2 linked regions of the Caenorhabditis elegans genome follow. The protein of the gene in region 1 interacts with the protein of each later gene in a pairwise test. Each region holds a gene or a part of one and is shown on either strand. Other genes may lie near its edges. The genes, in order: nlp-27 and F52H2.5.

The links.
Region 2: the proteins of nlp-27 (region 1) and F52H2.5 interact in a two-hybrid assay, tested with the Caenorhabditis elegans proteins (one large-scale study listed by BioGRID).

Annotation. Positions count from the first base shown.
Region 1 is NC_003283.11:3,987,258-3,990,379, forward strand, and holds nlp-27 (Neuropeptide-Like Protein), read left to right. Parts: upstream 1-2,120; 5' UTR 2,121-2,160; coding exon 2,161-2,245; intron 2,246-2,322; coding exon 2,323-2,456; 3' UTR 2,457-2,513; downstream 2,514-3,122. Other genes in the region: nlp-28 (QWGYGGY-amide), read left to right, coding at 677-767, 850-956.
Region 2 is NC_003284.9:2,557,452-2,561,578, reverse strand, and holds F52H2.5 (Peptidase_M10 domain-containing protein), read left to right. Parts: upstream 1-2,033; 5' UTR 2,034-2,070; intron 2,071-2,152; 5' UTR 2,153-2,173; coding exon 2,174-2,285; intron 2,286-2,335; coding exon 2,336-2,441; intron 2,442-2,491; coding exon 2,492-2,711; intron 2,712-2,769; coding exon 2,770-3,008; intron 3,009-3,358; coding exon 3,359-3,533; 3' UTR 3,534-3,603; downstream 3,604-4,127. Other genes in the region: Delta(24)-sterol reductase homolog dhcr-24, read left to right, coding at 664-1,039, 1,083-1,261, 1,307-1,460; aat-3 (Large neutral amino acids transporter small subunit 1), read right to left, coding at 4,104-4,127.

The sequences.
Region 1 (3,122 bases):
ACCATAAAATTGAGCTATTTTTAATTTATGCAGGCAGACCACACGGACTTTATTAAAAATCCAAAGTGTGCTACGAATTCAGTAATTTTGGTGCTCCAAAAAATACCAAAAGCTATCACATTTTCCGAGTCCGAGCAACACGGCAAATTTGCCGAATTTGCCGTGTTTTGAAAATATTGGAAAAAGAGATTTTCTTGAGTTGGCACAACACGGTAAACTTTGAAATTTGCCGCTCACCCCTGTTCGGTATATTGAGTCATTTTGGGCAAAAACCCCACAAACGCTACTCCACTCTCAAATATGTTTGAAAATTGACTGAGATGTTGGTTTAATTTTGAAGCTGCCTAAAAAGTTAAAATCCACTATTATAAAAGTACAAAATGCTTAAAATCTTTCATATTATGTAACAAAAATCATATTTCGTATCAAACACAAATACCACGTTCCAATATTTTATAACGGCTAACGTTACCACTGTCCAATTTGAACTGATCTATAACTGATCTAGAATCAAACTTTATTTGACGTATAACAGTGATGTTCAAGTAAAAATACCGAGTCTTGTGATCTTGATCAACGAAAAAAACTAATTGAAGATAGACGACGGCACCTATAAAAGAGGCGAAAAACGTGGTAAACATCAGAAAATCATTTTCGTGACTTTTAAAATACAAAAATGATTTCAACTTCTTCAATTCTGATTCTCGTCTTCCTTCTCGCTTGCTTCATGGCTACCAGTGCTCAGTGGGGATATGGAGGATATGGAAGTAAGTTTTTGTGCTTTTTTGATTAAAAAAAAACTTACCTCAATATAAAATTAAATCATTCACACATATTTTTCATTTTCAGGAGGTTATGGTGGATATGGTGGATACGGACGTGGAATGTATGGAGGCTATGGACGCGGAATGTATGGTGGATATGGCCGTGGAATGTACGGAGGATGGGGAAAGTAGACAAATTAGCCTACTAACTATATTCATTCTAAATCTCGTCGATTCCAGCAGTATTCTGATGGTTTGTATACTTATTCCCATATAAAATTTTTGAAATTCAAAAAGTATTATCCACATTGTAACTATTGAGTGAGTGAAACTCAAACAACTCGTTCAAAATTAGTAGAATGTAAAGCCTGCAAGACTAGAACTTCAGTGTGCACGGAAATTTTTTTTTAAGTTTCAGTACTTGACCAGTGCATGATCGTATTGTTTGAGTTACTACCAATACCTTGTAATCCGTTTAAACAATTATATTTGGTATTTTGGATATACTTCTTAAAAACAGCAAGTGGACGATTTGTGATTTCTGTAACTTCGAAACAAAATCTTATCAACTCAACATTTTTGCAAAGTGGTGTTTTACAACATTATTGACATGGTTTGCAAAGTATATTTTGAAAACTTATATGAAAGAATTGAGAAAATTTTGTAACTTCTAACAGGCAATTTCTCAAAAAGTTGAGTTAAAGTTGGATGTTGTGCTAAAATTAAAAGTTGATTTATAATGAAAAAAAATTATTTCAGAAGATCAGATATTTTTTCTGTATTTCTATATAAATTCTCAAAAACCTGGTTTTTCTTATAGTTAAAATTAAAGAGAAATAATCAAATTTTCTGCAAATAAATTTATTTTCTATTTAATAATTTGAGGAGTTGCTCAAAAATTTACTCTAGCTTCATTGCTCCCATTTTGACTGACTTTGAGACCGTTTTTGAAAAACTTCTCGAAACTCTTAATGTAAAGTAAATTTATTATCAAAATTTATAATTGTTTCTCTATATTTTCATAGAACTTTCCTCAAAAAAAACTACGACGCTACTTTTTCACAGTAACTTTTTATACAAATGTATTTGGCAACAAAAAAACATTTCTGATTTGTCATTTTCCATGGATCATCTTGACAAACATCAAAACACTTGAGAAAAATTGCGTATTTTGCCCGATAGGCCATTACCAATTTGACCAAGTGACCAATTCAAAGTGATTCACCAAGTCAGTTCGCCGCGTGCAGGAGGTGGAGATGTGGTAGAAAAAAAAAAGATGATCTTATCAGTTAGTTGTTTGACGAAAAAGGAACCCAAAATGAACAGTATAAAAGATGCCAGGTAACCAGGTAGAATACAGAAAACTTATTTACAAGTTTTTCAAAGAAATATCATTATGATTTCCACTTCTTCACTTCTTATCCTTGTCGTCCTTCTCGCCTGCTTCATGGCTGCCAGCGCCCAGTGGGGATACGGTGGAAGTGAGTTACTTTAAAAGTTTAAATCCTAAATTTTCGATCATTTCTGTTTAACATATCAATATATTGTAACTTTTCAGTGCCATATGGTGGATACGGTGGAATGGGAGGCTACGGAATGGGAGGATACGGAATGGGATACAGACGGCGCATGTGGGGAAGCCCATACGGTGGATATGGAGGATACGGTGGATACGGTGGATGGGGAAAGTAAATTCGATATTTTAAATAATCTTCTGACTTTGTAAATAATAATGAATTTTCGATCTTTATTTGTTATCTTACTCGCAAACTTTGAAACATGTATCTAAAGAAACGAAGAAGACAGAGAATTTCAGGTCAAAGTACAGTGCTGGCCAAAAAGATATCCACTTTTGGTTTTTTGTGTGTAACTTTTTTCTCAAGCATCCATTTGACTTGAATTTTTCCGTGTGCATAAAGCGAAATGTTACGCAAATTTGCGGACCAAACATTACATGATTATCGATTTTTTCTGAATTTTATTTCAATTTTTTGATTTTTTCGTTTTTCCAATTTTCATTATTTTTTTTGAATTATCAATAAAACGCACTCTGTTTGTTGCACTGGATTTGTTTGGTTGATAAATTATTTTTAAGGTATGGTAAAATCTGTTGGGTGTAAAAATCTTTCCTTGGACGTCAAGAAAGCCATTGTAGCTGGCTTCGAACAAGGAATACCCACGAAAATGCTCGCGCTGCAAATTCAACGTTCTCCGTCGACTATTTGGAAAGTAATCAAGAAGTACCAAACTGAGGTGAGTTCGAAAAATATTATTTTTTAATAATAAATGTTTAGAAATCCGTCGCTTTGAGAATCTCGCCCGGCAGGCCTCGAGTGACAACCCATAGGATGGATCGCA
Region 2 (4,127 bases), on another chromosome or scaffold:
TTTTTTTGGATTCTCGCGCATATGAGTGACGTCATTTTTGACATTTTTGTGTTTTCCGGCTGTTTTAATAAGTAATAGGTTTTAGCTTCTTTTTTTCATATTTTTTTTTGCTTCATAATTTTAAACGCTGTTTGTCATATATTTTTCCAAACAAAAAAATATTTTTAAAAGTTAAATTATCGATTTTCAGGCCAATTTTAGAGTTTCAGCAGGATCTTTTTGGATTACCATGTTTTCTTTTTGGAAAAATGTCTGAAAAAATTAAAACATCAGGAAAATGCATAAATGTCTAAAATGACGTCACCCATTCACGCGGGAATTCAAAAATAATTCAGTTTTTTTTATGGATAAAATTCGGTATATTGGGACTGTATTCTATTATTTAAGGCAAAAACCACAAACGCAACTTTGTCAAAAAACAATAAAAGTTTGAAAAGTATTCATTTAAAAAAATGTTTTTTGTTTATCGTCAAAAAAAGTTGTTTAGTTTTTTAAACGAATGTTTTCAAAGTGGCTAGGTTAATTTGAGAAACTTTTTGAAACTATCGTCAAATGAAAGATTATAGTGATTGACATAAATTTCCGCAATTTCAAAAAAAAATCTATATGCAATAAGACGCATTCTCACCCCAAATATTTTCAAACTTTCACAATAAATTTCAGATTTTCTGATGGCCCAGACACTCACGATGAAGTCGTCAACCCAATTGGAAGGTGGTACAAAAAATGGTTCTACACTCACGTTGAAGATTTGATCAATAAAAAGCACGAATCCATTGAGTACATTCCACTCCGTGACTACTACCATCGTCACTCAAAGAGCATTTTCTGGGAGCTCAGAGACATCGTCCCATTCGGAAACAATGTCCTGTTTCGTTACTTGATGGCTTGGATGTGCCCCCCAAAGATTGCATTTTTAAAGGCAACAACTCCAAACGTTTTAAGAAAGCTGTACGATCGTAGTCATGTTTTGCAAGATATGCTTGTACCACTGGATAAGTTGGAAGAGTGCATCGATCTTTTTCACAAAGAAGTCGAAGTACGTTTTTCAGATTTTCCATATTTTCTAGCATTGTTTCCAGATCTATCCAATGTGGTTGTGCCCATTCTACTTGAAATCCCAACCAGGTCTCATGAAATTGAGAAATGCTACTCACAAGATGTACGTGGATGTTGGAGCGTATGGAGTAACATCCAAGGATGGTTATCATCACGAGAGAACAACACGGCGACTGGAATCGTTTGTTCGATCAGTCAATGGGTAAAATTTGCCTATAAATTATCACTTTAATAATTTATCGTTCAGATTCCAAATGACATATGCCGACATTTACATGACACGAGCTGAGTACGCTGAAATGTTTGACAGAACACTCTATGATTGGAAAAGAGCATCTTGCAAATGTATCGATGCGTTCCCAGATATTTACGATAAAATTTGCAGAAGTGGAAGGCGTTAAAATTTTTTATTTAAAGGTGGACTATGCGAGAAATGATTAAAAATTAATCCTATGATGTTAAAATGACCAAATATCATTTTTAAAAAAGTTTAAAAGGTTTCACGTTTTGATAAGACATGAAAAATTTTCCAAAACTTTTATTCTGCTATTTGGTGATTTTTGCACAATATCAATGAGGCTTAATCACTTCTACATTGTTCGCAGTTCACTTTTTTGAATTGATAGTCATTGCTCGATTGTTTTTCTCATCTCAATTACTTCATTGTACTGCTTAAATTTTATCATTTTACAGGCTCAATTTTCAGAAACGGCGTACAATTTTTGTTGGTCTTCATTTTCATAAGTTTACAAATCAATTAATTTAACTAAATACATTACCATGCAGAATAAATTTAAAAACAAATTTTTTTAAAAGTTTTTTTTTGAACTGTTATTTCACTTTTTTTCCCCATTTTGTTTTATAACTGCGTGTCTGCACACAATCGGGACCTCCACCCTCTCTGCCGACGCGCAAGTGTTACTGACCCACATTTAGTTTTCTTGGCGCGTTTCTTGTTTTGAATGTTGAACAGTGTTCGAGTACCTCTGTTTTTTCGTTTCAACCTCATTTGTGAGTTACTTTTTATTTCAATTTAGTTAAATAATTAATATCTACTTTGTTTTCGCAGAGTTGTCAATTCAGAAAATTTCAGACACTTCTACGGGTTGAAAAAATGTCGGACGGGTTAATTGACAAACCAAAACTTTTTGTTCAAGGAATGTTCGTGACAAGTACCTCTGGAGAAACTGCTGATGAGACAACAATGTCGAAAATTGACAATATCAGTGAGTTATTTTACAAATGTATTTTTTTCTGTTAAGACTAATTTTTACAGTTACGTATGGTCTCCAGGCAATCGAACATTTCCTAGAAAAAAACGATGGGCAGACTGAGCACTCAAAGTTAGAATACAAACGTGTTGTAGCTGACAAAGAAGTTGAGTACGTTATTATTAGAATTTGGATGAAACTGTTAAGAATTCATTTTTCAGGTGCAATCCAGATGGTGTGAAAATTGTGATTTTCGTGGAAGACATCGAGGTTCCCGCCAAACTGACTGCATTCGCCAATGGTAATCGAGCTGAGATCCACATTCCGAAGAGCAAAATTGACGAACTTTCCGAAGAGACAAATATCGATAAGCTACCAGCTAACGAAAAAGCAGCGTTTGAAATGCTTCTTAATCATTTTCTTCATGAGATGATGCATATGGTGAGTTTTTTCAAATCTTACTATTCTGATCATTTGGTTTAAATGAAAACTTTCCCAGTTTGGAGCTTTCCATTCTGATGTTGGAATCATGTCCGGAGTCATCCAGTTGTTCAATGAAGAAAATCGTATTGACTTGGCCATTTTGTTAGATGATCACTCTGCTCGAATTGTTTCTGAAACCCTTATTGGTCAAGTGCTCCCAGATCCACCAGTTGCAACATTTGTGTATGATGAGAAAGACAGATCGCTGAAATTCGAAAGCAGTGCAGGATTCCACACAGTCATGTTTCTGAACAAGTGAGTTTTTAGTGAAACTTTTCGAAAAATATTGGATTTTTTCAAAAAGTGGCAATTATTGAGTTTTTGCCACTTTTTGAAAAAACTAGAGCACTATCGTATGTTCGATTCCCTGATAATTTTTGAAACACACGTAAGTAGATAATAAAAACGGTATTTTTTTCAAATCGACGGCTTTAAAAAAGTGGAAAACGGAGTTTTTTCCGAATTTCAAAAACTCATATAAAATTTATCACTTTTTTTGAATTTTTAAGTATGAGATTTAGGTCATTATAGGCATTTTTAAAGGCAATTTTCGCTACTCCACCTTCAAAATATTTTTGCTCATTTTCAATAAATTTAAATTTCAGCTCCTACTACACAAATCGATTCTACTATTCCGTTGATATGAATTTTGAATGCATTGTTCCAAAAGATTCGGATTGGGATTCGCTTCTTGTTCAATTTGTCTATGGAGCATCGTTATTCTACAAAAAATCGTCCATTTACAACAATTGTGACTATGACCGCATTCGTCGCCGCTGAGCCAAAAACTACGTTTTAATTTATTTTTCACATGTAAAAACATAATTTTAGACACATAAACCATTTTAACAATTTCCAACTAATTAACCAGGGGTCTGAAAAAAAGAGGCGTTGAGCACCCGCATCTGGAGCAAGTAAAACGTTCCAGAACAATCTAACTTAGATTTTAAACTAAAAATTAGGTTCTAAACATATTCTACTGTTTGTGAAAACCTGTAACTCCGTGGAAAAAAATCTAACAATAAGTAAAAACCTTGTAAATTGCAATTCAACAACTTTCAGGAAAACCGATTATTAGCCAGAATATGTAGAAGTGTTTGAAGTGAGAATATATTTATTATGCCAAAATAATTATGGTTTTTCGCATTTCTACTTGTACGAATTGTCATTGTATTCTTTTATATCGGCGGCAAAATACTGTAAAATTGGGGGGAGGGGGGGGGGGGAAATAATATAGTTGAGATCAGTTTTTCTCGAACTTTAGTAAATAAAAGAAAACAACGAAAACTAAATTGGTGGTAACTGGGGATTGTGAGCGCCGAGAACTGAGAGCTACAAGTTTTTATGACACTATTCCTCTTTGTTGGCGTCGAC